4 linked regions of the Struthio camelus genome follow. The protein of the gene in region 1 interacts with the protein of each later gene in a pairwise test. Links are inferred from orthologs where the notes say so. Each region holds a gene or a part of one and is shown in the gene's direction. Other genes may lie near its edges.

What was found.
Region 2: the proteins of TRIM63 (region 1) and MYOT interact in a two-hybrid assay, tested with the Homo sapiens proteins (2 studies listed by BioGRID). The link is inferred for Struthio camelus from reciprocal best matches to the Homo sapiens genes TRIM63 and MYOT.
Region 3: the proteins of TRIM63 (region 1) and TNNI2 interact in a two-hybrid assay, tested with the Homo sapiens proteins (2 studies listed by BioGRID and IntAct). The link is inferred for Struthio camelus from reciprocal best matches to the Homo sapiens genes TRIM63 and TNNI2.
Region 4: the proteins of TRIM63 (region 1) and CKM interact in a two-hybrid assay, tested with the Homo sapiens proteins (2 studies listed by BioGRID). The link is inferred for Struthio camelus from reciprocal best matches to the Homo sapiens genes TRIM63 and CKM.

The regions. Positions count from the first base shown.
Region 1 is NC_090964.1:7,166,622-7,174,019, forward strand, and holds the start of TRIM63 (E3 ubiquitin-protein ligase TRIM63), read left to right. Parts: upstream 1-4,136; 5' UTR 4,137-4,905; coding exon 4,906-5,502; intron 5,503-5,826; coding exon 5,827-5,993; intron 5,994-7,373; coding exon 7,374-7,398. Other genes in the region: serine/threonine-protein kinase PDIK1L, read right to left, coding at 251-535. UniProt on the Homo sapiens protein: E3 ubiquitin ligase. Mediates the ubiquitination and subsequent proteasomal degradation of CKM, GMEB1 and HIBADH.
Region 2 is NC_090954.1:5,806,772-5,814,272, forward strand, and holds the start of MYOT (myotilin), read left to right. Parts: upstream 1-4,187; coding exon 4,188-4,250; intron 4,251-4,808; coding exon 4,809-4,950; intron 4,951-5,475; coding exon 5,476-5,499; intron 5,500-6,017; coding exon 6,018-6,137; intron 6,138-6,550; coding exon 6,551-6,806; intron 6,807-7,501. UniProt on the Homo sapiens protein: Component of a complex of multiple actin cross-linking proteins. Involved in the control of myofibril assembly and stability at the Z lines in muscle cells.
Region 3 is NC_090946.1:17,999,996-18,007,293, forward strand, and holds the start of TNNI2 (troponin I, fast skeletal muscle), read left to right. Parts: upstream 1-3,869; 5' UTR 3,870-4,684; intron 4,685-4,736; exon of another isoform or gene 4,737-4,756; intron 4,757-5,062; exon of another isoform or gene 5,063-5,181; intron 5,182-6,567; 5' UTR 6,568-6,597; intron 6,598-7,298. Other genes in the region: uncharacterized protein, read left to right, coding at 1-802. UniProt on the Homo sapiens protein: Troponin I is the inhibitory subunit of troponin, the thin filament regulatory complex which confers calcium-sensitivity to striated muscle actomyosin ATPase activity.
Region 4 is NC_090957.1:1,407,714-1,415,869, forward strand, and holds the start of CKM (creatine kinase M-type), read left to right. Parts: upstream 1-5,128; 5' UTR 5,129-5,205; intron 5,206-6,969; 5' UTR 6,970-6,982; coding exon 6,983-7,175; intron 7,176-7,809; coding exon 7,810-7,964; intron 7,965-8,156. Other genes in the region: KLC3 (kinesin light chain 3), read right to left, coding at 910-929. UniProt on the Homo sapiens protein: Reversibly catalyzes the transfer of phosphate between ATP and various phosphogens (e.g. creatine phosphate).

The DNA.
Region 1 (7,398 bases):
AAATTATCAAAGCAGATTTGCATTAAAAAAAATCTGGAGTGGCACAGCTTCCAAATAGAAGATACAGGTGATAGTTTGATAAGTATGTTCTTCTAAAGATCTAAAATAATTTTTGGATGTCAGCAGTGCATATAGTCTCTCTTAACTAAGCATATCTTTAAAAAAAAAAAATTCTTAGCTACCCACCTCCTTCCCTCCCAGCTACAGGTATATGTTGTTACTCCCACCCCATTACCTCAGCTTCATGTACCTGTAAATAAAGGGAGGAACTGGAGCCATGGGACATCTTCTGCACCATACCATCTTTCTGCAAGATGCACTCCTCCAGATGAATGACGTTGGGATGTTGGCTCTTGATACTGCTAAGCGCCCAGAACTCACGCAGAGCTAGTTCCACGTTCTCTGGAGCATGGCAGCGAATCTTTTTCACCGCAACCCGTGCGGAGGTCTTCCTGACGACTGCTTCGTACACCACACCATAACTGCCACGGCCAACCTCCCGTATTAGATCGTACTTAGGCTGGCTACTCACCATCTTCAAGATCAAAGGTTCTGGGGAAGGGGGAAGGGGAAAAAACCCATAGAACTAAAACTTGTGAACAACTACTAATTTGCGTTTTCCCTATGTGACTTGGTGTAGCGACAGTAGGCCTTCAATTATTAGGGCACTGCCCCTGAACGTAACATCTCATAACACCACATTCGAGTGCTAGAATATCCTAGAACCTACTTTGTAAACCCATACCTGTTGCTAAGGAGCAGTTAAGAGAAGTTCTATCATTTCAGTCAGACTACTAAGATTGCAAATCAGGCCAGTTTTCAAGAATGCAGCAATTCAGACCTAGACTTGTACTTGAGATGGGATTATCACATATTCTCTTGCTGTTTTCTCTCAGTATCTTTTGCTCTATCTGTGCATGTAATAGCACAGTATCATGCTCAACCCATGCCTGGGATATCAGAGAAGAGGTTTAGTTGAAAGTTATGGTTAGGCAATAGCAGATTTAATTTGAAACTTCCTTTTAAGGAGGTGACAGGATAGGTAAACATTTTCTATTATAATTTAACTACAAAAATCTTTTCTGGATACTAGAAGAAGAGGATGCTTCAGAACACCTACTTTTTTTTTTTCCTCCAATTGTTACTATGCTTTTTTTACCCAGGCGCCTCTGAATAATCAGTTTAAGGTTCCAAAGAGTTAAAGAGGGCAACTGATTACAGAAGCTTTTACTCAGTATCTCAACTTCAGTTTTGCTGAACAGGGCAAGGATTTCAACAAAAACTAATATATTGTTCTATAAACAAAACAAGAGAGACAAACAAACAAAAAAACAGTGCCACAAACTTATGAGCCTCTCTACACACTTCTCTGCAAGTTTACAAACCAAAACACAACATCACCTTCATATAAACAAACCAGAATGAGACACTGACTACAGACAGGGAAAAAAAAAGGTTTGGCTAGCCAAACATCACCGGTCAGACAGAACTAAATGTAAGAAAGAAAGAAAGATCACAATTAGTAGATGAGAACTAAAATTTTTTTTTTTTTTTAAAGATTGCTAGTGATAGGTGTAACTCTCCTTCTGTCAGTAACCAGGCACTAAGGACCACATCGAAACAGCCCCTTGTCAGAGGGAGCCTTCTAGTTTTCCCAGTAGGAAGACAGACACAGGTATTACCAGCCTCAGGACACCATCGATGCAGATGTTTAGACCCTTTCAGGAGAGTTTTGCAGTGAACATTTACTGTAACACCTGAACTGCAACTGGCGTGAGCAAGGAATTCACTGTGCGAGATGCAGGTCGCAGGAGGCATCGCACCTGCGCCTGTAACAAGGCTAGGAGGAACAGATGATGGTCTGAAGGGGAAGACCCAATGGGCCAGTAACACCTCCCAAGCAGGGGAGGAAAGCAGGATCCATAACCTCAAGGACGGCCAAATCTAAGGAAATGACGGTGCTACTCGGACACTACCGCACCAGGTCCAGCATGAGCGGGAGACAGGCCCCGTCTCTGGCCAGGTAGGTGCACGCTGTCACCAGGGGGGCTCCATCACACTGCCAGGGCAGCCACCCACCCTCACCAGGAGGGCCACACTCCCACAGCAGCCTGGCCCAGGCCGGGAATGTCACTGGGGGGGGGGGGGGGTCACAGGGCAAGGCAAGGGGAAGCAATGCCTGCTCACGCCAACCCATCAGGCCAGCAGCAGGACAGGGGCAGCAAGCACCAGGCCTGGCCCCGCTGCCGGGCCCAGGCAGGCACCACACAGATGAAGCGTCTCTGCTCCCCGGCTGCCTTGTCAAAAATAACAATTACAGAATAAAACAAGTCACCTTTCCCCTCCACCCAGCACCACCAGGGAGGCCCCACAAGCAGCAGCCACGCAGGGACCCCACCAGCGCCCAGGGGAGGTCACTCCGGGGAAGGAATTAAGGCGGTTTCGCCCGTTTTCCACACCGCTCCCCCCCCGCCAGGCCCCGCGGGCTCCCCGCGGCCGCGCTCACCCCGAGGGCCCGGCCGGGCCGCGCAGCAGGTGCCGGGGCCCCCGCTCAGGGCAGCGCCGGAGGCGGAGCCGGGCCCAAGCTCGGAGCTTCAGTCCCTCACTGTGACGCCCCGGAGCCGCCAGCGCCGCGCTCCCTCCGCCCCGGGCACCGCGTTACCTCAGCACCGCCGCCGCAGCCGCCGCGCTCCCGCCGCCCGGCCGCCATTATAGGGCTCCCCCCGCCGCGCCGCCGCCGACACACCCCCTCCCCCCTCCGGCCGCCGTCGCCCCGCCCCCCGACGTCGCCACGCCCCCCAGACGTCGCCCCGCCCCCCCACCGCCGCGTTCCGCCCCCCCCACCGCCCCACCTCCTGATTGGCCGGCGGCGGCAGCGCGCGCGCGCGCCCCCTCGCGGCGGGGCGGGAACGCGCGCGCCGCCTGCCACGTGCGCTCCTTCCCGCGCGGCTGCTTTTTTTTCCCGTGCGCTCCTCCGTTCGCCCCGCCGCTCGGCGGCTGTCAGCGCTGCTCTTATTTATTTTATTCTGTTTTATCGGCTTTTTTTTTTTTTTTTCGCTTAAGAGAAAAATATGGAGCCTTCCCTCGCCAGGGAGCCTCGCGCCTTTTGGTGCGCTCTGGCGTCGTGCCAGGTCCCTTCCTCTCCTCCGTTCCTCCGGAGCGCCAGGCCTGGTGGTGCTTTTCCGTACAGCAGCAGTGCCGGCGCTGCACGGAGAACGGGAGGCCGCGGCGTGACCCTTCGCATGGCGGCAGGCCCGCAGCACCCTGCAGCCTCGGCCCCTCGCTGCGCACGAGTCCCTCCGGCGACACGGGCAACATCCTCCTTTCCTGCACCATCAGACTGGGTGCAAACGCGCTGCACGGTCTGCTGCGGCCTCGCACCTCCGGCCCCTCGCAGCGTCGGCCTGGCCGGGGGAGCAGCCTCGGGGCGGGGAGGTTGCAACTTAAAAAGGGGAGGGGGTTGCAAGTTCGAGGGGCTGCAAACTCACGCTGGAGCGGCAGATTTGCTTCACCCCAGCTCCAAATCGAGGACGTGGGCTCTGGCCACCCTGGCCTGCAGGGAGCCACGTTCCCGCGGCACCAGAGGGCGCGTGGCCGTCGCGGATCCGTTTGGGAAAAGGGCCGGGGCCGGCCGAGGGGCAGAGGTTCCCCTTGGAGCGGGGCTCCGCGCCGGCCCCAAACCCGCGGTGCCGTGGAGGCAGCTCTTCCCGCCAGCCGTGCACCGTCCCCCGCTTTCACCCCCATATTAATTACTAATCAGCCTGGCGGTGATTAGCCCGTCGCCATCTTCCCTGATCCCCCCCAAGCCAATTAGGAGCCGACGAGCCCCTTGCAGGCCAGCGGCGGGTTTGAAGCCGATTAGGGTACAACCAACCCAGCCGGTGCCGCGAATCCCCTTAACCGAGTCCAGAAGCAATTAGTTAATTAATGGCACGCCACCCCCCTCGCTGCCACCGGCCCCAAACGCGGCTGGGTCCGGCCAGCGGCCGCCGTGCGAGGCCGGGTGCCAGCGCCACCCGCGCCCACCGCGCTATAATTAACCCGCTGTCCCCTCTCGGCTGCCAACATTTACAGGTCTCCCTGCGGACCGCCGCGGGAGCTGGGCATCACAACCTGTTTATCGCCGCGGCTCGCAGATGCCACCCCGGCCCACGTGAGCCGGCGGCTTGATTTTATTTTTTTCTTAACCCCCGTCGCCTGCAGCAGCTCTCGCGGAAGGGGCCCGGCCTCGGCCCGCCGCCCCGCTGCTCGCCTCGGAGCCTTTCCTGGCTCGGGTTTCGCAAGGGAGGCGCGGGGTTAGCCGGGGCCGCGGGACGAGGGCGAAGGTGCGCCCCGGCACCGGCTGCTTTTGTCCCCGTCTCGGCCAGGCACGACTGGAACGAGCAGCGTCGCTCGGTGCCGGGATGGGGACCCGCCGGAGCGGCTTTTCTTATCGCTCCTGGGTCCCGTCCCGGCAGAGAGCGGGTGTGAAAAGCCCCAGCCGCTGGCTGATGCCCGTCGCCCGGGGGAAACCCGCACGCCGCAGCCTGTTCTCGTGGTGGCCGGGCGCCCCGGGCGCGTTCGGGATGCTTCAGCCTCCCACGTGCCGGGCCTGGGTCGTGGGGGCTTTTTTGGTGCCCGGATGAGTCGCTGCTATGCGGCCGGGGGCTTTCCCAGCCCCGAGTCATCGCCCTCCCGCCCCGCAGCCCCGCGGTCGCATCCGGTCGGCCAGAGCTCAGCGCTGCCCGAATTTGGGGCGGGGGGGGGGGACGAGAGCGATTTTTCTGCTTGAATAAACTGGACGAAGCAGGTCGGCGGCCGCGGGAACGGGGCTCGGCCGGGGGCACGACGCTGCCGGGGACGGGCCGGACGGGCTCGGGCACCCGCGAAGCCCCAAAGCGAGGTGCCCACGTGGCGCCGGGCGGGATGAGGAGCGCGAGGCCGAAGCAGCCCGGCGCCCCGGGGGCCGTGCCGGCGGCGTGTCCGGCCTCGTCGGCCCTTGGGCCGCTTGCACCTGGGCGAAGCGTGACTGCGCTGACGGCCCCGGCTCCGGTTTCTTTGTCCCGGGAGACGCTAAGCCCCCCGGCAGCGCGGGTGCGGACAGGCCGTCCCGAGCCCTGTTTACAGCCCGGCCTCCCGCTCGGCCCGGCGATTGCTCACTCCCATGTGATGGGTGGGAAACTCGACCCGCTGCCAATATTGTCCCTCCGCGTGACCGCAGCGCGAATTATAAATAGCCGCGCGGCCGGAGCGGCAGGCAAAGGCGGGTGGCTGCAGCCGAGCTGCGGGAGCTCAGCGCCGCCCGTCGCCCCGTCGGCGCCGGCAGAGGAGCAGCGACGCTTCTGGCCGCCCTTGGCCGGCCCCATGGATTACCAGCCCGGCATCATCCGGGACGGCAGCCCCATGGAGAACCTGGAGAAGCAGCTCATCTGCCCCATCTGCCTGGAGATGTTCACCAAGCCCGTGGTGATCCTGCCCTGCCAGCACAACCTCTGCCGCAAGTGCGCCAACGACGTCTTCCAGGTGAGCGCCGTGGCAAGGCGTCCCCAAAGCCGCCGGCGGCCGGGGCCGGTCCTCAGCCAGCACTCGGCTGACCCCGAGAAGCCCTCGGGCTCATGGTTTGTCCCCTGCACAGCGGAGCTTTCCGTCGCGGGCAGCGCGGGAGGCTGGTTTCGGGCACGAAGAGGTTGGTGGTGGAGGTGGCCAGGCCATGAGAGGTCCCCACCGGGGCGCCGAGCGTAGGGACGGCTCAGCGGGCCGGGGGAGGACGCCGCGAGGATGCTCACAGGTGCCACGGGACCCCCCGGTGTCCCCGGCCGGGGGACCCTGACACGGCTCTCCTTGCAGGCCGCCAACCCGTACTGGCAGAGTCGGGGCAGCGTCATCTCGGGGGGCCGTTTCCGGTGCCCGTCCTGCCGCCACGAGGTGCTCCTGGACCGCCACGGCGTCTACGGGCTGCAGAGGAACCTGCTGGTGGAGAACATCATCGACATCTACAAGCAGGAGTGCTGCAGGTGAGCCCGAGAGCCGTTTGTCCTTTAGGAGATTGCACCTTTGCTGGAAACCGTGGGTCCTTTCCGCTTGCTTGCCGCTTGCCATCCCCGGTCTCTTCCTCCCGATAGCGCAGCTGGAACGTTTTCGTTCCGACACCAAGAGCAGTAAAGTCGCGAGCGCTGTCCCTCGGGGAGGGCTGATCTCCCAGGGCTTTCGTGCCGCCGCGGAGGGCAGCGGGTCCTTCGGCGGCGAACGACAGCGGGACCCGTCCTGTCCTTAACGCCTGGCGTTTTGCAGATAGAGGTTTCAGGCGGAGATAAGGGGCGCGCGGGACAAATACCGGCTCCGCTTGCGAGAGCTGGGAATTGCCGGCTGATAAGGGACGGAGGGACGGTTTCAGGGGGAGGATCTTGCTCAGGGGCTGGAAAAAGCAAAGGCTCATGTTGCTCAGGGGAAGGGACCCAGCTGGGGTGCAAATGTGCCGGCGGCTCGGAGGGGGAAGGGGAAGGACAGCGAGAGGTCACGGCTTATCGAGGCAGGAAGGGGCTAAATCTATTTATAAAGGAGAAAGAAGAGGGTGAGAGCAAGCCCCGGCGCAACGGCTGCTCCCAAAACGGGAGCCGACGGGAACCCGCTCCCAAATCCACTGAATCACTGTAAATATTATTCGCCAGCCATGGGGACGGTGACAGATGTCAGACGACAAACATCTCCGGCATCGGAGTTTGCGCAGCAGGGAAGGCGCCCGGGCAGCGGAGCGCCCCGCGGGCCCCCCCGGGCGGCCGTGGCTCGGCGAGCTCGTTGCACCCCTGGCTTTGGGGTGAAATCCCCCGGGTTTCGGTTCGGTGGGGTCGGCTGTCCTAAAGGGGCACGAGCAGGTGGCTTCAGTTCGCCTGGCCGGGTCTCCAGCCACCGTCACGCTGCTCGCGGAAGGGGCAAATTGGCTAAAAGCCGCCGGGGAGGAGGGGGGGCCGTGTTTCAGCTGCCCCCGCGGCGCCTGGGGCTCCCCTGGCCAAGTCACGCGTTCGCCGCAAGGAGCAGAGGGCGAGCGTTCGTCTCGGGTCTGCGATAATACTACATTACACCACCACGGGTCTAAAATTAGGCTGTTGCGCAGCATCCCTGGCCCGTGGCCCCGGTGCCCCCGACCCAGGGCACCCGAGGCGCTGACCGCCGCACTGCCCAGCATGGCACTGGTTTAAACTGGGGCCTCCTGGGCTCCTGCTTGAGCCGCCGGGCGGAGGAAAGCAAAGCTCGGCGCGCGGAGCCGCGGAGGTCGGCAGCTCGCGAAGGAGCAGTCGGGGTCCGGCAGGACGCGGGGCGGCTCCGCAGCGCCGCCGGGCACGTCGCGTCACCGCGGCGGGCCGGACGTCACCGCCGCCCGGCCCCTCTCTCTCCAGCAGGCCCCTGCAGAAGGGCGAGCAC
Region 2 (7,501 bases), on another chromosome or scaffold:
AGACATGGTTTCTCGTATTCACTGCACAAACACTGCCTGCTTTTCACGTTACATGGCATCAGTCCAGTTTCACTTGTAGGTTTTGACAGCAGTCATCTTTGGCCATGGCCTCCACCATGTCAGAAGGTCTTCAGCTGTAATCTTTGCATGGTGGAACTAATGCCACACATCTGAAAATCTGTCTTGAGCACAAATGCTTAAGCTGTGCTATGCCTATCTTCAGCTAAGGTTCAGTGCCCATTTTATCATGGCTGGAATCTTGTCAGAAGCCATTCTTATCTAGTTCAGTAGACCACACTCTCTTTCTAAGGTCTTGCTTCATGCTTCAGAGAGGATGTGTCCCAGTCTTCTGGGCAAGCTTCCTGAAGCGCCACACTGGACTTTGGTCATAAACCACAGCTTGCCACAGCCCCACTTCTGACCACTTCACTTACTCTTGCTAAGGCACACTTTTGTGCCTGCTGCTTTTACGCATGTCTTCCCAGATTCAAGATTGAGCAATAAATCTAGAGATAGAGTGGAACAACCAACAGTGACTGTATGTCCATAGGAGAATCAAGTCTTTTCCTATACAGGAGTAAAGGGGGCACAGACAGTACAATGTAGTTTTGCTAATGTTGTTCCAATTATGCTCAGGAAGTTCTTTTTGAATTGAATATATATCAGCCCTGGCATTCCTTTCACAACCTGCATGTGTCTGATTTTTTGCCACTTTTTTTCTTTGGAGGAAAAACAAAAATCAGCACATCTTACAGTTCCTGAGAAATGACTATACTGACCATTACTTGATAGACTGCAAGTAAGCAATGCTAACAGCTTCACAGAAATCCATAGTAGAGTACAGCCAGGATCAGTTTGCAGTGGGAACCCAGGGCAACTCAATAACATTGACTTCCTGGTCCCTCCTCCCACATCCAAGAACTTGAATTATCCAGCAGTCCTTGCATCACAGCACAGTCCTATTGATGGCCATGTGATACAACCTTGGCCAGAAGCCATCCTTGAACTGCTTGAGATATAACTCAAGAGCAACAGATTGAAATAGGAAGGCCATGGGTGGTCAAAGTACGTGTCTGATTACTTTGCTGGATCAGGGCCAAGGTTAAGGTACTGCAGGTTTGAACGAGACACACAGTGACACGCGCTGGTCAGAGACGTCTGAATGCCTTAAAGCAGCCCATTGTACCATGCGGTTCCCCGCAGTTGTCACAGGGCTGTACCAGTTAAATCCAATGAGAATGCAAAATACCCTTCACTGTAATCAACTATGTCTGTTTTAGTGGCAGAAAGCAGGAGAGAGAGAACAGTTCTCAGATAAATTATTTGGACCAAACGGCTACGTAAAGCCTCCAAAGAGCTCAGATGCTTACACTGATCTTACTTGATGAGCTAGGTGCTTTTGTAGCCTACTGAAGAACTGTTAAGAGGTACCAAAATCCCAGTCTGTTGAGGCACCTCCATATTTTTACAACATGCACCTACCTGCATCTGCACAAATGCGACCCCAAGACAGGGTGTAACAAAGCTTGTAAACACCAAGCAGTACCATATGGAACTGGGAGCACCAAGGGTAGGACCCTGACCCACAAGAAACATGTGCATTTGGCTGACCTTGAAGACTGCCAGAGTGCAGAGAAACAACTGTACACTTAAGGAGCGGCTGCTCACCCACCAAGCCACAGCCACTGACACGTTCTGGTTCGTAGCAGACTGCAGACATGAAGCAAAACCACCACAGAGGCAGTGGTTCAGCAGGCTAGGAGCTCACATGGGGCCATTCACCGTGGCCGTAGCAGCTTATCACTCAACAACAAGCAGTAGCTTTGTAACCATTCACTGATACCTTAAGGTACTGCTTGCGTGATCACAGACACATACAGGCGCAAACATAGGACCGGGGTGTGTGACAACATCAATGCCCAGGCAATGCAGTATTAGGCTCTTAATTCCACCCCACAGGTGCCAAGAGTGGGAGAGGGCAAACAGCTGGCTTATGGGATATGGAAAATGAACCCCGGGGCACCCTGTGCAAGTCAGCAACTCACAAGTGTTGCACCAAACCAAACAGATCAGCATGGGACATATCTGGCTGCTACAGTAAGCAGAAAGTCAATGCAGTTATTTCTGTGCCTTCTCCTTGCTGACAAACTGGCTAGGTTCAGCTCCTTTTCTCCAGATGCAAAAATACGGTTTCCATGTCTCACATGCTGCTATCTCTCAGCTTGGAGCCAAAATTTTAATGTTCACCCCAGAAGCAGAGCTGATGACAAAGCATGGCTGCTTGCTGGGAGTTATTTATCGAGACCTGCACGGCTGCTTTCACTGAGGCGGCTCTTCAACCTGCAGTACTCCATCAGAAACAATCCCTCTTGCCATAGTAAGAGGGAAACACAGATGAAACCAACAAACCTTTTATTACTGCTGTGATGTAATGAGACACCATAACTATTTTTTAACGTTTATCTGGTACGCACGAATCCTTACATGTGAAGGATCCGGTATTTGCTTTGTGAGGTACCATTTTCACTTTAGCTAAAGCAGCAAGGCTTTTCTTTAGACTCTTCCATTAAAATGCAAAAGAACCTTAATTCAGCCATGGAGCCAGTTTTCACAGGTGACTTCTGTCCTTTACAAAGGCCCCTATCAATGCTCTTAGGTAAATGTCCCCATGCCCTGGAGGTGACTTGAGCCCACTCGCAGCTACAAGGGATGCTACTATTTTCTTTTGCACACACCACTGTGTTGTAAGGAAAAGGAGGTAGCTCTAAACATACTGATTTATGTTTGTGTCTCCAGGTTCATAGGGTAAATCTGAAGGCTCAGCCTCCTCAAAAGTCTCAGCATCCTGGCAGGGACAGAGGAATGTCACAGTAAGTACAAACACTGTTGGGTCAAGTACATTCAGCCTGCTGAAGTCTCCGTCTCCATCCTGCCATGTTTATTTTTCCCCCCACACCAGGAAAAAGCGGAAAGCCACCACTGTTTTGCTGACCATTGGTTCCTCAGCCAATGAAGTCCCTAGCAGCCGCTCAGCCCACCAGAGTTACACCACTTTAATTCAGCCGTTATCTATTGACCCTCAAAGAGTAGGTTTCACATTTTTTAAATTATTATTTATAGTATTTAGAAGTATTTTGTAAGGATCAGCTCGAGCACATCTTCAGCAGGTCACCAAGAGGCAAGAATCATCATGAATATCAAGATTTGGACTCTTTCTCCTGGAAAAGGGCTTTCTGGCTTGGGACATTTTCCAGCCTGAATTGCTAAGAGAATTGAGGGAGCAGGGGAATAAGGCTAGAAGTAATTGAGCAGCTGCCACACAACTTAGCCATTTGCCAGCCTCCTCCAAAGATTCATTTCAGATAGATAGTTGGTTTTGAACATGTCACTTGGTCAAGAGCTGGGGAACTCAAACTATCTAGGAACGGACTTCCATCTTAACTCAGGCTGGGAGGAAAAGAGCTGATAACTTGGGTCATTTTGGAGAACAGACAGATTATGGAAAAGACCATGACCACAGCAAAACAAACCCGGGCACTTCAGTTGCACATTTCCATGCAAGACAGGTAGTCCAAAAGCTAAATGGGATGGGTAAGAGTGGACATCAACACTTTGCCAGGGAGCAAGCACATATCTTGCACTGCAAAGATTTGATAGCCTTAAGACTGCCATTCTCGATTAATCAAAGACCTTACTCTAATCTCTACATCAATTAAGCTTTAAGAAGAATGTCAGGACAGAGCACCAAAGTTCCTTCTCGTTTCCTTACAATCAGCCTCACTGTGGTTACACATGCACCACACAAGCCAGGAAGAGCTAGACCTGGAACCAGCTAACCCAGGCAGAAATTTCCGTAGAAGGGGACAACTACTGGAAGGCAAAACTGAGCTGTATACAGAGACGACAAGATGTGAGCAGTGAATTGGCTTTTATGATCTATAGGACCAACAACATTTACAGGTTATCAGCTCTTCCTCCGCTAATTTGTTGTTCACAGTCCAGTAAGGCATTTTCTCTTGGAGCACTTGAATGGAGACTCTCCCTGGGGTACGTGATAGGCTGGTGCACAAACAGCAGATAAAACACTCTGGCGCCTTCCTCTGCTTCAAAGTAAAGCGCCAGCAACACAGCTGGGTTTATGCATGTGAGAAATGCAAACTATAAAATCACTTTTCTTTGCTATATAGATGCAGAGTCCCTCTACGAGCCAGACAGGGCCTTCCTATGGAACCACACCTGTGTTTACAAAGGTAACGAGCAAAGGTTGGCTGAATGACATCGCTTCTTCTGCGACTTCAACCCCTAGCATTAGACTTTGAGTTTGACTTCTTCCTTTAGAAAACCCCTGGGGGTGGGAACACTGGTTCATTTACATTTCAAAAAATCACCATACTTCATTAGCAAGGCTATCAAACTAGTATCTTAATTGGTAAATGATCCTGAGAAACAGAACCACTCACATGAATGCATCTCATTTGTTTGCTACAAAGGCTGAAGCGGAATCTCTCACAGTAGCCTCCCTCATTATTGGTCATCCACTAGAATTAGATTTTTTTTCTGCATTTTTGTTTTGATTTGAATGCATGAGCAAGCTAAAGCCTTTCAATGAGTGCTGGTCTACAGGCGAAAAAACCCTTCACTCTCAACCCACTTCAAATATATCTAGAATCAAATCAATTATTTTAAGTAAAATAAAAGAGTCATGCCATCATCTTATTCACTAAAGGGTGTTTGATTGCCTAAGTGTTTCTCCATTTAAGCAATTACTACGTATGTCAGCCATTTTACACCATTTTCTCCTCCTCCAGGGTCTACAAAACATCAGAGCTACGAAGGGTCAATTAGTGGTATTTGAATGTCGTATTCGCACCACGCCAACCTTACAGGTTCACTGGTACAGAGAATATGACCCGATAATAGATTCTGCAGATTTCCGAATACTGCGGAAAAGTAGGTATCGCCATGCCTCTCTGATGCACAGTAATTTTATCGGGATAGCGATAAGACAGGAACAAGAACCACTATGAAAATTAGAGCATAGTACATGTTCATAGAGATAGAAGTTGGTTTAAAAGTATCATATGATCTGCAGTTGCAGACCGCTCTATAGAGCCCGTCCTTTCCTTCTCTGGGGATGTGCGCGCAGACCAGGCGTGATGGGAAGGGACTGCAAGGACATTAGGTATTAGTGAAAGCACCACTGAGCCACGAAGGCACTGTCACAATATACTGTAACTAATGATCAATTCAGCGATCTTCTGAATCACCTCAGAGGAGAGGGGAGAGGGGTTTGTACTATCAGGTTTCGGTCAAATCTGAACTTACCCTAGCGGGACGGTATTTCTCTTGATGAACACAGAGAGATGGTTGTTTTGCAACAAGGGTGACAGCTGAGGTGGTGAGTGAAGGCTGAAGGTCTTTCTTCCGTTTTGGCATTTACAAGCATTTAATTATTCTCTCTCTTATTTTGAGCAGAGGCTTGCTCATCAGCAGCTCCTGGTAAGTACATCACACATCTTTTGTTAGACATCCCATCAGTTAGTTTACCCCAAGCTTAGTTTTTTCCCCTCATCTCATCCAAGATAAAACAATAAAACTGAAAGGGTGGCCAGAAGATACGGGTTCAGCAGCAGACTAACGGCTTTCAAGTACTTGGTTTTGACATAAGCTCCTGAAGGGCCCCGGTTTATTTAGTAACACAATCAAATTATCCTGTTTACATTCAGCCAAAGAAAAACATCTTGTATTCTGAGAGACACTGGAAACTTATCAATCATACTAACCTGTGGGATTTTCGGGGTTTTTTTCCTTAAAGTCACAGGCAGAAAGATCCTTCCTTCATCTTCACCCCTTCCAAATCCCTTGACTTCCTATGCTCTTTACACCACTTCTTTCTGAAAAGCCCTATGGCCACCAAGCCCCATCACCAATTAACTGTCCCTTCGGCAAGGACCAGGTCCTACAGGCTAACATTCGGCCCTTACAGTACAACAGCGTGCCTCAATTTGTCGTTTCAGAGGAAGTCTGCACATTGGTTATTACAGAAGCTTTTCCAGAAGACTCTGGGATATTTAAATGTGTTGCTGAAAATGAATTTGGATCAGCGGCATCTAGCGCACGTCTCTCTGTCTCCCCAGGTAAGCACACAGATCTCTGAGCTGAACAACCAAGCTCAGGAGCCTCTGCTGCCACTCAGTATCCGGCAGAGTCGCAGGTATTCGTGAAACAGAAACACTTGTGTAGGCTCAGCCAAAAAGAAACGCCCCAAAAGCATAGTCCGCTTGGGTATTTCTCAGGGTTGAACGCAAGTTGCTCTGCGTTTCTGCTTCTGGCCTTGCTTCCCCCTGGGTCAGCGTAAGGGCGACAAGGTGGAGCTGCTGTTCCCTCGCACAAGGGGTCTCCCCCCCAGACCTTCGCCCCTTCGCCCCACAGCTTAGCCCAATACACTGTCAGTATCGGCACCTGTTCATCACAACGCACAACTAGCCCAGCTCGTGCTCGGAGCCAGCTGCGAACCGAACGACTGACTTGTGCACAATTCCGTTCCCAGGAGCAAAAGACCTGGAGAGCTTTGCAGGTGCTGCCCCGGTGCCGGCCACCACGAACAAATCCACTTTCCCTAGAGGCAGCCAAACTGCCACCATGGAGCGAGACGCAGCTGGCCAGCCACCCTACGGCACCCGGCAAGAGGCCCCAGGGCTAGGCCGGCGAGCAGGATCCACCGACTTCAGCCAGATGAACTCCGAGAGCGAAACCGAAGATTTTCCTGGCATTTATGAGAATTCACCTCAGGCTTCACCTCTGCGGTAAGGCAAAGGGGAAAGTCACATCCCTAGAGTGGTTTTAAACAACAGTTAGAGGATGAGCTTTCTAGCGACCCCAGCAACGCAACAGCAAAGGTCCCGTGCCCCATACCCTATCCGGGCAAACACGCACACGCAATAACCTGAGCTGTTTGCCTAGATGTCATAGGAACTTGTTACACCAGCCGAGCTACAGAACAGCACAGGCTAGAGCTGACAAAGTACAGAACTGTCTAAAGGCTCAGGTAAGTGCCTAACGGTATTGTCAGAAGTGCCTACCTGTAAGCAGCTTTAAAAGCACGGCCACGCATAGCCACCAGGAAATGCCCGACGCCACAGTCGAGCATGAGACAAAAACCACAGCATCTAGGAAATTTCAAATCACAGTTCTGTTGCCACCGATTTCCTCCATAGCCTTGCCCAAGACGCATCGCTTCATGTTTCCGTCCCCTATTCTGTCAAGCAGCTATAGAAGTTGGGATGTGGGAAGCATGGCGCGCTTAGATTGCACCTGCAAAGCACCCTGTGGAGGAAAAGCACCGACCGGGTGATCCCACCGCGTACAGCGCGAAGTGTCCCCTGGCATGGTAGGCCCTGTTCAGCAGATGGAAATTTTCCTTAAGAACAAAGTATTACCTCTCGTAATAGGACTCAACCCAATTTCTGCCCCGAATGTAACTCTCAAGCAGCTATTTACT
Region 3 (7,298 bases), on another chromosome or scaffold:
ACCCCTCTCTTGTGCCCACAGATCCAGTCCTACTCTGGGTCCTCTCCTGCCTTGTCCAGTGGACCCCCTTTCCAAAGCCAAGCTTTCCAGCTGCTTCTCCTTGTTCTCGCCACCGTCATGGAGCAGCAGCTCAGAACCAGATTCCAGCCCTCTGTCCAGAGTGGGCTCCAAGAAAACTTGCAAGGGTACCTGGAAGAAGAAATCACATCCTGAGGATCCCAGCGGTCTGAAGCCAGGAGAGCCTGTGTGTTTCCACTTCACAGAACCCATCATCGCTAGGATAACAGACTGCATCTACCTGGGGAACCTCAATGCTGCCTACAGTGGGCGGGCACTGTGCAAAAATGGCATTGACAGCATCATCGATATGAGCAGTCTGCCCAGTGACCGCAGCCTGAGCATCATTCCCTGCACCTGTGGCCGGGGAGGGTTCAGGCACAGCTGGTCACGCCTCAAGGTTGACATCCAGGCTCCCCTGGATGGGGACCAACATGAACTGGGACAACCTTGCTTCCGGGACATCAATGAGTGCATCCAAGCCTCGCTGGAGAAAGGGAAGCGTGTCCTTATCCACTGTAGAGATGGTTACTCTCTAGGCCCTACTTGCGTCATCCAGTACTTGATGGTCAAGCACAGCATGAGACTGCTGGCAGCCTATGAGTTTGTGAGGGCACGGTACCCGCTGAACATCCAGGAGTGCCACCAGGACCTGCTGGTGGGTTTGGAGACATCCCTGCAGCCTGGAGGTGTCAACATGGCATGCCTGAAGCACTCCTTGTCAAGGAAGATGGCATGGAGCTAAAAGGGCAGGGTTGCTGTGCTGTCTGGCAGCAGCCCTGAAGATGAAAAGCCAAACTGAACATGGCCTTAACTTATCTCATAGGTGAATGAGATGACTGTTGCTGTGGGGTATTTAGGAAAGAGCTGGGGCAAGATGCAAAGGCTGCGGCCTTCCTTTTTAGCAGTTCCTAGGGTCTGGTGCCAGCAGAAGTCAAGCGTGGGGAACTCTTTTAGGGAAACACCAGAGGGAGAGGGAGTATCCTGGGTGGGGTGGGATGGGAACCATGTGCGTTGCTCTGATGTGATTTTGGGAAAGCAAAGGGGAGCCAGACATTGGTTTGTTCAGTGATCCTGCCTGATTTTTTTACCATGAGCACATCTGCTGGGGAGTAGAAGGCCTAGGTCCTTACTGACAGCATCATCCTTGGAAATAAGAGCTGCTTCTTCCAGATGTGTTAAGACCAGAGAGCAGGATGGGATCGTGTAGAGGAGTAGAGCCACTTCTGGCACTGGAGGACCATTCAGAACCATAGTAAACAGGATCTAGGTAGTGATAGATGGAAACATAATGTTAGCTGGTACATACTGGATTAGTTAGTCCACAAACATGACTATGCAGTGAATGAAGTGCTTTATAGGACACAGTGCCTGTCCACTTGATGCTTGTAGGATCAAGAGGAGGCATCCAGTAGTATAAGTGTAAGGAGATGGCCTTGAGGAATAGCTTGGACCCGTGGTGGTTCTCCCTTGGAAGACCATAGCCCAGAAGTGCGATACCTGAATCTCTTTAAAATATAATGCAGAACCTCCTTTATGTGCCAGATCTTCCCTCTGCCTGGGCCTTGCAGAGACAATGCAGCTGCTCTGGGGAATGGTGGGTTGCACCCGCTGCGTGTCCTCTTAGTAGGAGGGGAGGGGAACAAGGCAAGGGGACTGGTCATCTGCTCCACAGGAAACGTAAAGTCTGAACACTGCGTCCACTCCTGGCTCCTGCGGCCTTGCCCTCACTGAGCCATGTTCCTCTCTGAAGGACTTGACGGGAGTTTCCTTATGTTTTCCTTGAGTTTTTCTGCAAGGAATTTGTTCACTTGTCACCCAAACGCTTACTCTACTTCGTTTAGAAACCATTATCTTTCTTAATGTCAACTGCCTCTCCTACTTTGGGTTGTTTCTGTTTTTCTATTCTTCCTGGTGCTCATTGGATTTCTTCCTCATGACATTCTTGGTCTGGGGCCTCTTCTTATTTTTAGAGAGCTATCTTCTTAATTTTAGAGAGCTATCCTAGAGTTTGACCTCTGGACAAGGCAACTCTAGAGAAAACCTTAAGCAGACTTGAAGGCTCGACCTTCTACTCACCCTATTCCCGCACCTCACCCTCCAGTCACTGGCCCTCTTGACCTTCCTTATCCTAAAATCACATCTGCTAGTCAAAACTTTTTCCCTGAGACTCCTTGCTTTGTGCAAAAACAGTGTAGTGAAAGGAGAGCCATTTCTGTGAACTCCCCACTTACCGATTTCAGACCAAATACTTGCAGGCACAAAGTAATAACTAAAAACTTGAATTCAGAGCAAATCTTTTTTTTCCTGTGCAGCATGCCTGCACTCCAGGAAGTTCAAAGAGCCTTCCTTTCATGGAGCTGAATGAAACTCCTTGGGTGCGGATAAGTTTTGAGCGGATAACTCCCCAGTTTTGATTCTTCCTCCAAAAGCTGAGCCACTGTCTTGAGGACCTGTGAGCCAGCAATCAAGTCACCATACACGCCAATATGTGTAGTTGCATAGGGAGCCGAAAAAATATTGCTGTAGAAACTTTGGAATAATAAAGAATTGGTTTAAGTGAGACAAACATGGCTTACAGAGTTGGTACTGAGAAGAAAAGTGAAGCAGCTCAGCTGTTTCTTAATGGATGGTTTCTACTGCTGGCTGGTGGAGGGTGGTCGCTGTCCATCTTCAAACAGTTTTCTGTGTTGCTTGCTTTGGTCTGCTTTTTATCGTTTCTGAGAAACTAGCTTTATCTGGGACAAGCAGACATTCCTCCTGCCAAACTGTCTGCTTTTGCTGAAGACCAGATGGGAGACGGATGCTGGGTGGGCCTTAATTTTAAATTGCCCACAGTGAGGCCTGCACCAACGAGTCCTCTTCAGTGGCAGTAGCAAGAGATGCACGGCAGGAGCTGCTGGAGTTTTAACCTATGTGTTTTGTAGGCCTGCCTGGAGCTGAAGACCTGTCTCCACTGGAGTACAGACTGCCCCAGGGACAAGGATGTGGAGGACACGACACGCAGTATGGCCTGGGGACGGGAAGGTGCAGCGTGCTCTGCAGGGACCCTGGCCCGGGGAGACGTGCAGAGGGCCTGGGAGGAGACGGAGATCCTTGTGCCTCTCTTCTCCTTTCCCAGCAGATGGTGCTCAGAAGTCACGATGCGCCCGTGCCCCCACCACCACAGCCTCGTTCGGGAGGGGCTGGTGTGGCTTGGCCGTGCTCTGCTTCGCGAGCAGGAGCAGGGGTTGCTCTTCGCAGGAGCTGCTTCCGCGCGGAGGCACGCTCAGATCGGGCTGATTCTCGTTACAGCTCTTCCCCAGCCCGGCTCCTTTTCGAGGTGCTGACTCACAGCCCGAACAGGCAGCGGAGCAGCGCTCAGGGAACAGTCAGCCTGGGTTACCCAAATTCAGCCTGCACCAATCCAATCTACAGATGAAAGAAAGCATATTCTTGGTCTTTCCCACTGGTGGGGGATCGTCCACCCAGCTGCCACCGCCAGCCAGCAACCGCTGCCGAATCACCATTTCTCTGTGCATTTGCAGGAGTCCTGCAGTGGGTTAGCAAGGGGGAATCTCACATCAACAGCCACCGAAACTCCTGACTTGGTGGGGTGGTGCTGATCTCACTACACCCACCGCCTAGCCCTTGATGTTCCAGGGAGACAAATCCTGAGCAGAGCCAGCCTTGCCCGCACTGTGGCTTCCTCTCCGCTCGCCCTGCCACGGGACGTGGGGGCAACCCCCTGCCTGCTGCAGAGGCAGCACTGGTGTTTCGCGCCAGGGACTGGCTGTTCCTTCGCAGGCGTCCGCAGCTGGGGGTTGCATCGTGCTAAAGGTGGTGAAACAGGAAGTCTGCAGCAGCAGATTTGTTGCTTGTATAGACAACGTCTGAGAGGCTTTTGGAAAAATTTGTCAGGGCCACCTCTGAGTCAGCCTAAAAACTGTGGCTGAAAGGGGAGGGAGTGCCTGACCTGAGGAAAGAGGGCAGGAGCTCCTTGGGCTCCTATCCCTGTGGGATCCTCCGTCTTCCCTTCCCTTGGGCCCACGGAGGCAAGGGTCTGGGGCATGCCCCAGCAGACTCTGGGGTTACCCTTTCTTGCTGGTCGTGTGGGGCTGCTCCCCCACGCATTGCTCCTTCTCCCATTTACTAACGGGCTGCTCCTGGCAGCTCCGGCCTTGCAGGTGGACTGTGTGCAGGGAGCCTGGCGCCCCCACAGCCCTGAAGCCACATCCAGCGTGGGAGGTTGGCGAGGGAGAAGAGGGGGAGGAAGGCTCCTTCCACAGCGCTCACCAGGAAGAGCACCGCCTGGCTCCGAGGTGGCTCCACTTCCCCACCCCACCAGCAGCAGACGTCCTCCCCCTCCCCACCCCGTAGCTGTACGTCGCCGTCTCCCCGCTGCCCACGGTGGCTGCCCTCTCCTCCAGGGCTGCTTGGCTCGCCTGCCCCGGCCAAGGGAGGTGCACAAGGGAGTCTTGCACATCATTGGTCTGAGAAGGTCTCCATGCCCTTAAAGAGAAGGTGGATTTTCTGCTGAGCCACCCGAGAAGCCCTTTTATACCTCCTTACTCAGCCAGCTGCCTACGGCTCGCCAGTCAGTCCTGTCCATCCACGGGGGCTCTCTGTCTTTCTCCTCAGCGCTTGGGTGAGCCGTTTTGCATGTCTCTTACTGACCCAGCTTGCTGTTAGGGGGCGAAGGGGAAGCAGATTCACTCACGTGAGTTTTGGGGAGATAAATGCTAAGAGGGGTGGCCTGCCGGGGAGAACTGGGGTGCTGATAGGACTGCCTCCATCCTTTGCCTGTTGGAGAGGGCCCACGCAACCAGAAAGTCTCCTTGTCTTTTCCAGTTACCTTCTTTCTCTTTGGTTTCATGCCTTCCCCTCACTTGACTGGCTTTGCTTTCCGGCTTGAGCGGAAGGGCGAGTGGAGCCGCAGGCTCTGTAACGCTGACCTCCCCAAGGCCGTGGGAGGCGGGATCCCATCCTTTGCTGGTGTAACTCAGCAATGCTCCCCCACTTACAGCTCTTGCTCCAGTTCCTGACCCGGTCTGTGCAGCGCCTTCCTCCCCAAAACTGTCCTCCACGTTTCGAAGCCTGTAAGACAGGGGTAGACGTTCAGATTTACTGCAACCCACTGAACAGGTGATGTAAAGCCCCTATCACAGGCGGATAGCTGCGATCTGGGATTCTCTCCTTGCTTCCTTTGTACTTGCAGCTTAGATGTCATTGAAGTGGGTGCATGTGTGCGTGCGGGAGGAACGCAAGTAAAAATAGCTTGCGTTCCTCCGAGGCCCTGTCCCTCAGCTGTAGCTGAGCCACCTGTGGTGGCTTTTGCTTTGCATTGCCCCAACCTCCCTGAGTCATGGGGCCTGGCACCGGGGAAAGGCTGCAGTCTGAGGAGACAGCTGCAGCTCCTTGTGCAGCTCCCTGACCATTTTTAGAAGCACTTTCCACCCCAGTAATGTGATGGGCCTGCACATTTTCCAGGATAAAGTTTCCTCAGGGAGCTCGTCCCTGCAATCTGTACGTCCTCCCTTGGGCTTGGGCCCCATTAACACTTTATCTCCCAAATGCGGCCCCCCAGGTCTGCAGAGCGCTGTGTTTTGGGCTGCGAGAGACTAGCCGAACTGGGGATGGGTTGGCACTCTGGGGTCCTTCTGTTAGTGGATACAAGTAGGAAATACTGCTCTGCTAGAAAAAAAAAATATGTTATGTGTTGTGGGGAAACAGTTTATAGCAAAATATAGAAGATTCAAAGGTGCTTTCCTCTCTCTTCCTTAATATGCTGTGTCGGGCCTGTATAATTTCCACGTGAAGGAGATGCAAGAACTTGTCGGGGGCTGTGGCTTTATCAAAGCAACAAAAAATTTTCAAACCTATTCTGTGTTATTTGTGCTGTGGCTGTTGCACTAGGCTCCTCCGCACCACGCAACGCATGCACATTATGGCAGCAATACGCGCTGAGGTCCTCCTTACCTGCGCTTGCTGTCCCACTCCATCGCCATCGTGTCTGAACCCTCTGCAATCTTTGGGACGTCTCTTGTTCATGAAGTGGGGCGGTGCCGTTTGCCCCGTTTTGCAGGCAGGAAGGCTGAGGCCTGAAAGATTTGCCTTTTATGTTGCTACAGAACTGTATAAAGAGAACTATATGGCAGAGTCAAGTCTGAAAATAGCTGTTTCTCCTCCTTCTTCTGTCATTGCATAAAGCGGTTTTCCTGGGAGTCAGAGACATCCTTGCAGGAATTATTGTCACAAATCTGTCTTTCTTCTTCTGGCCTAACATTGCTTTGTCCAGTCCAGGAGCACCCAGATGCTGAGGTGTGTGTGGCTGCGAGGAGGCCCGTGTTTGGCTCTCGTCTGCAGACCGCAGCCTACTTCCCTATGTGATGAAATTTTGGAGAAGTTGGGAAATAAGAACAAAGCTGTTCCTCTTTTTTTCTAGGGGAATCTTGCTGTATTTTTAAGCCCAAGAAGGTCATCACCAATATGAATAGTTACGAACCTTTCTTTTCTCCCTTTTCATTGCAGGTTTACAACCACCTAAAGCAAGATGTCTGAGTAAGTTCCCATTTTCTGTCTCTGATATGCTGTTGGCCTTTTAAAACTTCTGTTTAGCTGCCAACTTTTTCACTTGTTAAGATTCCTCCACTTGTTTCTAATTAGGATGCTAACTGCCTTTTTCTCCCCCCCCCCTTCTCTCCCTTCCCTTCCTTGTCCATCTCTTCCTTTTGAACAGTGAAGAGGTAAGTGTGTGTTGCTGGGCTTTTTCCTTCAGTAATGCTTGTGGCACCAGTCTTCGCTTTGCTTTCCTCCTTAGAAAAAAGCAGCTGCTTGGGGGGAAGAACGGCCCAGGCTGTAGCAAGGTTTTCCTGATCATTCCTTTTGGCAAAGATGGGGAAGGACAGGAAAACCTCTTTTGAAGGCGTTTGCCCTTCCTGCCTCCTGTCTTGAAGTTAGATGTTTTTTCCCCTTTCCCGCTTCCCCAGCTGGCCACAAGATGGTGCTGGGAACCCCTGCCTGGAGGGCAAGGGCTGGTGGTCCTGAATTGCATCTCTTCCATCTTTACTACAGAAAGAGAGAAAATCTCTGCCCTTGGAAGCGTATCCTCTTTGGTTGCACTGCCTATCATTCCCCATGTGTATTCCCTCATCTTCAACCCGCAAAGCATTGTCAAATTGCTTTTCCAAGGCGATCCGATGTGGTTTGGTACGAGGAGTGTGAAGATGACGGAGGCTGCATGCTTAGGTGTTCTCCCTGGC
Region 4 (8,156 bases), on another chromosome or scaffold:
CATGTGTGCACACAAGCTAGCTTTGCACACACAATCACACGCCCGGGCGTGCACAACTGGGCTTTGCACACACAACCTGCCTTTGCACTCACGCGTGCATGCCCCACCTGGTTTTGCAATGGTGCACGCGCACTAAAACCGGGCTTTGCACTCGCACGTGCACGCCACCAGGCTTTGCACGCGCATGTGCCTGTACGACTGGGCTTTGCACGCACAACCCAGCTTCGCACGCCCACGGGCCCACACACCCGGGCTTTGTGGGCAGAGGCACATGCGTGTGCCCCCCCCCCACTTTGCACGTGTGTGCGCGTGCAAACGCAACCCCCCCCTTCTTGCACACCGGTGATCACACCCGCCCCCACCTTTTGCGCACCCTTGCACGCCCGCGTGCACGCGCCCCCTCCCGTGCACGCGCCCCGCCCCACCCCCGGCAAGCGCATGCGCACACGCGCCCATCCCCCTTGCACGCGCGCCCCCCTCCCTTCGCAGTCGTGCGCATGCGCACGCGCCCCTCCCCGGCCCCCCCTCCCGGCCCCCCCCGCGCGCATGCGCACGCGACCATCCACAGCCCCCCGCCCCTCCCGCGCGCATGCGCCGTGGGTCCCCCCGCCCCGCCCCGCCCCGCCCCGCCCCGCGCGCGCCCCCCGGCCCGGCCCCACCGGCGGTGGCGGCACCGGGCGGAGCCCCCCGGTCGGCTCGGGCCGAGCCAGCGCAGCGCACCGGGAGCGGGAGAGCCCGACGCCCCCCCCCCCAACCCGCTCCCGGACCGGACCCCCCCCACACACACACACACCTCTTCCCCCAAAACCGGACACCCCCTCCCACCTTCAAAACCGGTATCTTCCCTCCCCACCCCCCCCCCGGGAGCGAAACCGGCGGCCCCGGCTCGAACCGGCCGCCCGTACGCACCTGCCGCCGGGCTCCGGCATCGCCGCCTCCCCCCCCTCCCGCCCCTCGGCCACCGCCGCTCACCTGCGGCCGCCGCCGCCCCACAATGCCCCGCGCGCCGCCCCCGCCGCCGCCATCTTGGGCCGCCTCAGCGGGAGCGGGGGGCGCCCTGAGGCGGCCCCGGGAGAGGGGGGGGCACCGCCGGGGTTAGGGGGCACCCCAAGGACAAGGGGACCCCCCCAGTGCTATGGGGCACCCTATTGGCACCCCCGTCCCACCCTGGGGGGCTCCGGACCCCCCCCCGCCCACCCCAGGGGCACCCAGACCCCCCCATACCCACCCTGGGGGGCTCCAGACCACCCCCTGCCCACTTCAGGGGCACCCAGACCCCCCCCATACCCACCTTGGGGGGCTCTGGACCCCCCCCGCCCACCCCAGGGGCACCCAGACCCCCCCATACCCACCCTGGGGGGCTGCAGGACTTCCCAATGCCCACCCTGGGGTCACCCATACCCACCCTGGGGAGCTCCAGACCCCCCCGTGCCCACCCTGGGGTCACCCAGACCTCCCCATACCCACCCTGTGGGGGTTCCAGGCCCCCCCATGCCCATTCTGGCGTCACCTAGACCCCCCCATACACACCCTGGGGACACCCAGACAGCCCCCCCACGTACACTCCGGGGGTACCGAGGTGTCCCTCACCCCCCCCACCCTGCCATGGGTGCAGGTGCCCTGCCCTGCCTGGGGGGGCACCCACAGCCCAACATCCCCCCCCACCATAGCACGGGGAGGGGGGCTCGCCCACCCCTGGGTGCCTGGGGCCACCCGGCGGGGGGTACCCCACTCCCTGCCTCGGTTTCCCCCGCAGGGCCCCATGCGGGGTGGTGGGTGCCCTCACAGTGTCCCCGCCGCCTGGCCCTCCCGGTCCCCCCGTGGGGGTCCCCAGCACCCGCTTCCCCCCCGCCCCACCGCCCGGCCCGACACCGGATCCCCGCGGGTAACCGGACCCGGCCTAAAAATACCGGGTGGGGAGGGGGGGGGAGGCTCGTCCCCGGCTAGAATTGCCCTGATCCAGCGGATCCTTCCCCAGGGTCACGGCACCCGCTGGGTGTCCCCAGCACCCTGACCTCCCCCCCCAACCCAGCACCCACAGCAGGGACCCCACGCCCTGGGGGTGTGGGTGACATGGGGGACGGGGCGCTGCTGGCACCCTCCGCGGCTATTTTGGGCGTGGGGATGGCTTGTGCCACCCACCGGTGGCCTCCCCGGCCTGGGGACGGGGGTGCCACCGTGTCCCCAAGGGGCACCCGTGGACCTGGCGCTGGGGGAGGTGAGGGGGGAGACCCTTGTGGCCGGCCTCTCCTCACCTGGGTCTCCCCCTCTCTCTCCATCCCTCTCTCCATCTATCCCTGCCTCCATCTCCCCTCTCCCGCCACCGTTCCTCCATCCCTCCTTCCATCTCCCCATCCCTCTCTCCCTCTATCCTCTCTGTTCATCCATCTCTCCATCCCTCCTCCATCTCTCCATCCCTCCTTCCATCTCCCCATCCCTCTCTCCCTCTATCCTCTCTGTTCATCCATCTCTCCATCCCTCCTCCATCTCTCCATCCCTCCTTCCATCTCCCCATCCCTCTCTCCCTCTATCCTCTCTGTTCATCCATCTCTCCATCCCTCCTCCATCTCTCCATCCCTCTCTCCCTCTAGCCTCTCTGTTCATCCCTCCATCTCTCTCTCCATCCCTCCATCCTCTTTTCATCACGCCACCCATCCCTCTCATCCACCGCCACCTCCTGCCATCCTTCTCCCTCCCTCCTACACCTCCCTCCATCTCCTCTACCCCTCCGCTGCTCCCTCATCCGTCCCACCATCCCTCTCTCCCTGCCTCCGTCCCTCTCCCTTCCTCCCTCCATCCCTTCCTCTCTTCCTCCATCTCCTCCTGCCATCTCTTCTCCTCCCTCCCTCTCGCCATCCCTCCCACGCTCTGCCCGGCCCTCTCTCCTTTCCCTTCTCTCTCCCTCCATTTCCTCTCTCCATCCCGCCCTCCCTCCACCCTCTCCCCGTCCCGCACCCACATCCGCGTGTGCGAGGAGGGGGCGCAGCGGGCAAGGACCGGGGTGCGGGAGGTGGAACAGCGAGCCCTGTGCAGGGTGCCGGGTGCCCACGCAAGGTGCAGGGTGCCCATGCAAGGTGCAGGACACCTATGAAAGGTGCAGGGTGCCCATGTTGGGTGCAGAACACCCACTCAAGGTGCAGGACACCCATGTAAGGCACAGGGTGTCCATGCAGGGTGTAGGACACCTGTGCAAGGTGCAGGGTGCCCATGTAGGGTGCAGAACACCCATGCAAGGCACAGGGTGCCCATGTGGGGTGCAGGACACCTGTGCAAGGTGCAGGGTGCCCATGCAAGGCGCAGGGTGCCCATGTGGGGTGCAGAACACCCATGCAAGGTGCAGGACACCCATGCAAGGCACAGGGTGCCCATGTGGGGTGCAGGACACCCATGCAAGGTGCAGGGTGCCCATGCAAAGCACAGGGTGCCCATGTGGGGTGCAGGACACCCATGTGGGGTGCAGGACACCCATGCAAGGCACAGGGTGCCCATGTAGGGTGCAAGCTGCCCATGTGGGGTGCAGGACACCCATGCAAGGTGCAGGACACCCATGCAAAGCAGAGGGTGCCCATGTGGGGTGCAGGACACCCATGCAAGGTGCAGGACACCCATGCAAGGCACAGGGTGCCCATGTGGGGTGCAGGACACCCATGCAAGGTGCAGGGTGCCCATGCAAAGCACAGGGTGCCCATGTGGGGTGCAGGACACCCATGTGGGGTGCAGGACGCCCATGCAAGGTGCAGGACACCCATGCAAGGCACAGGGTGCCCATGTGGGGTGCAGGACACCCATGCAAGGTGCAGGGTGCCCATGCAAAGCACAGGGTGCCCATGTGGGGTGCAGGACACCCATGTGGGGTGCAGGACGCCCATGCAAGGCTCAGGGTGCCCATGTAGGGTGCAAGCTGCCCATGTGGGGTGCAGGACACCCATGCAAGGTGCAGGACACCCATGCAAAGCAGAGGGTGCCCATGTGGGGTGCAGGACACCCATGCAAGGCACAGGGTGCCCATGTGGGGTGCAGGACACCCATGTGGGGTGCAGGACACCCATGCAAGGCACAGGGTGCCCATGTAGGGTGCAAGCTGCCCATGTGGGGTGCAGGACACCCATGCAAGGTGCAGGACACCCATGCAAAGCAGAGGGTGCCCATGTGGGGTGCAGGACACCCATGCAAGGTGCAGGACACCCATGCAAGGCACAGGGTGCCCATGTAGGGTGCAGGACACCCATGCAAGGTGCAGGGTGCCCATGCAAAGCACAGGGTGCCCATGTGGGGTGCAGGACACCCATGTGGGGTGCAGGACGCCCATGCAAGGCTCAGGGTGCCCATGTAGGGTGCAAGCTGCCCATGTGGGGTGCAGGACGCCCATGCAAGGTGCAGGGTGCCCATGTAGGGTGCAGGGCACCCATGCAAGGCACAGGACACCCATGGAAGGCACAGGGCGCCGTGCAAGGGCGCGCGTGCGAGGGCCGGACGCAGCGGGCGCCTGGCTGGCCCAGCGCCCGGCCCCACCTCGCGGCCGTATTTCAGGGCCGGGCAGCTGCCGGGCAGGGTGCCCGCTGGCCACCCGCCGCCGCTGAGGCCTGACCCGCTCGGTGCAGGGGGGGCCTGGAGGGTCCCGGTGAGGCCGGGCCCATCGCACCGGGGCTGCCTGGGGCCCTTCTGCCCTCCCTGGGCCTGGTTTTACCCCCCTGGTCTTGGTTCCGCCCCTTGGTCTTGGTTTTGCCCCCTAGGCTCAGTTTTACCCTCCCCAAACCCCGGGTTTGGTTTTGCACCCCCCGGTCCTGGTTTTAACCCCCTGGGGTCGGTTTTCCCCCCCCGACCCTCGTCCCAGCTTTACCTCCCTAGTCCCGGTTTTGCCCCCCCCCCCCCGCCCGGTCCAGCTCGATGTAACCCAGTGGCGGGTGGTACCGGCCCCCCCCGGTACCCCCCGGTGTCCCGGGACCCCCCGATGTGCCGGACCCCCTGGTGCTCCGGGACCTCCCCCGTTTCCTGGACCACCCCGGTGCCCCGGACCCTCCGGTGGCCCCGGACCCCCCGGTACCCCCCGGGGGCGGGCCGAGGCGGGGGGGCGGCGCGGCCTCGGGGCTATAAAGGCCGGTGCCCGGCCCCGCTCCCCGCCGCCGCCGCCGCTGCCGGTCCGACCCCTCCGACCCGACCCGACCCGACCCGACCCGACCCGACCCGTTCGTCCGCGCCGCTCAGGTAACCCCGCGGCACCGGCACCGGTACCGGCACCGGACCTCTCCGGTGCTGAACCGAACCGGGCCGGAGCCCTCCGGTATCGACCCGAGCCGGGTCCGACCCCGCCGGTGCCGAACCGAGCCGGGTCTGGCCGAACCGGACCCCTCCGGTACCGGCCGGATTGCACCCCCGCCGGTGCTGAACCGAGCCGGGTCTGCCCGGACCGGACCGGACCCCTCCGGTACCGGCCGGATTGGACCCCGCCGGTGCTGAACCGAGCCGGGTCTGCCCGGACCGGACCGGACCCCTCCGGTACCGGCCGGATTGGACCCCGCCGGTGCTGAACCGAGCCGGGTCTGCCCGGACCGGACCGGACCCCTCCGGTACCGGCCGGATTGGACCCCGCCGGTGCTGAACCGAACCGGGTGCGACCCTCCCGGGCACCGAACCGGCACCGGGCCAGGCTGCACCGGCTCCGGCTCCGGCTCCGGCTCCGGCTCCGGCTCCGGCTCCGGCTCCGGCTCCGGCTCCGGCTCCGGCTCCGGCGGGGCCGGTACCGGTGCCCCCCCCCCCGCCCCGGTTCGGCTCCCGGAGTCCTTTAGGGGCTATAAATAGCCCCCGGCTCGGCCCGGCCAAATATAGCCCGGCCCCGGCCGGCACCTGCCGGCTGGCCTAGGCCCCGCCCCCCGGAGAGGCCCCGCCCCTCCGGGACACGCCCGTCGACGCCCCGCCCCCGGGGTCCTAGTGCCCGCCCGGCCCGAGCCTGCGCTGGGCTGGCGCCCCCCCACCCCACCCCGGTGTCCTTTGTGTCCCCTGTGACCACACCATGTCCCCTAGGCCATGTCCTCCGTGTCCCCTGTGTCCCTCATGCCCGTGTCCCCCGTGTCTCCTCTGTCCATGCTGTGTCCCCCATGTCGTGTCCCTTGTGTCCTCTGTGTCCACGCCATGTCCTCTGGGCCGTATCGCCTGTGTCCCCTGTGTCTTCTGTGTTCATACTATGTCCTCTATGTCCCCTGTGTCCCCCACGCCATGTCCTCCATGTCCCCTCTGTCTGCTGTGTCCCCCATGCTGTGTCCCCCCATGTCTCCTGTATCCCGTGTGCCATGCCCCCCATGTCCCCTATGCCCCCTATGTCCCCTGTGCCATGTCCTCTGTGCCATATCCCCTATGTCCCCTGTGCCATGTCCTCTGTACTTGTGCCACGTCCTTTGTCACTCCCTTGCCTATACTGTGTCCCTGTGCCATGGCACCCATGTCCCTGCTGTGTCCCCCCATGCCTTGTGCCCATGCCATGGCACCTGTGTCCCCCATGCTTGTGCAGCACCTCTTTGCCATACCTGGGCAGTGCTGTGACACCGTACCGTGTCCCCCGTGCCACGTCGTGCCATGTCCAGCCCCTGGCCCTGATGGCCGTGCCCAGTGCCATGGTGTGTCCCATGCCATGTCCCATACTGTGCCCAATGTCATGTCATGTTCCATGCCTGTGTCCCGTGCTGTGACACCGTACCGTGTCCCCCGTGCCACGTCGTGCCATGTCCAGCCCCTGGCCCTGATGGCTGTGCCCAGTGCCATGCTGTGCCCAGTGCCATGCTGTGCCCCATGCCATGTCCTATACTGTGCCCAGTGCCCTGTCATGTCCCATGCCCGTGTCCCATGCCATACCCAACGCCTGTGTCCCATGCCATGCCGTGTGCCATGCCCATGTTTCAAGCCTTTCCCCATGCCCATGCCGTGGCCCATGCCATGTCCTGCGGCAGCACATGACGCCGGTGCCGGTGCCCGCAGGCCCGCCGCCACCATGCCCTTCAGCAGCACCCACAACAAGCACAAGCTGAAGTTCTCAGCGGAGGAGGAGTTCCCCGACCTCTCCAAGCACAACAACCACATGGCCAAGGTGCTGACACTCGCCCTCTACCAGCGCCTGCGCGACAAGGAGACGCCCAGTGGCTTCACCCTCGACGACGTCATCCAGACTGGCGTTGACAACCCTGGTGGGCACCGGGGTCCCCAGGGTCCCCTCAGCCCCCCAACCAGCTCAGCTGTCCCCACCGTCCCCTCGGCCAGCCCTGATGTCCCCAGGAGCCCCTCGACTAACTCTGCTGTCTCCAGAGCCTCTTGACCAGTCCTGGTGTCTCCAGAAACCCCTCAACCAGCCTCAGTGTCCCCTTGACCAGCCCTGGTGTCCCCTCAGCCAGTCTTGGTGTCCCCAGGAGCCCCTCGACCAGCCCTGGTGTCGCTTTGACCAGTCCTGGTGTCCCCTCGGCCAGCCTCAATGTCCCCAGAAGCCCCTTGACCAGCCCTGGTGTCCCCTTGACCAGCCCTGGTGTCCCCTCGGCCAGCCTCAGTGTCCCCAGGAGCCCCTCGACCAGCCCTGGTGTCCCCTTGACCAGCCCTGGTGTCCCCTCGGCCAGCCTTGGTGTCCCCAGGAGCCCCTCGACCAGCCCTGGTGTCCCTTTGACCAGTCCTGGTGTCCCCTCAGCCAGCCTTAGTGTCCCCAGGAGCCCCTCGACCAGCCCTGGTGTCCCCTCGACCATCCCTGGGATCCCCACTGTCCAGTGCTGTCGCAGTGGGTGCCTGGTGCCAGCGGCAGTGGGGTGACTGGTGACGGTGGGGGGTGATCCGCAGGGCACCCGTTCATCATGACGGTGGGCTGCGTGGCCGGGGACGAGGAGTCCTACGAGGTCTTCAAGGAGCTCTTCGACCCTGTCATCCAGGACCGCCACGGCGGCTATAAGCCCACCGACAAGCACCGCACCGACCTCAACCACGAGAACCTCAAGGTGCCGGATGCCGGGGCCCCCCGGGGGAGGGGGGAGGGGCACCGGACACCTGGGCCCATCCTGGCTGGTGGGAGTGGAGACAGGGGGGCTGTCCGTGGAGGTCAAGGGGATCCGGATGCCTGGGTCCCTCCTGAGTTTGAGGGGTGGGGAGGGGCAGGGTGCCCGGATGCCTGGGTCCTTGCTGGGGTTGCA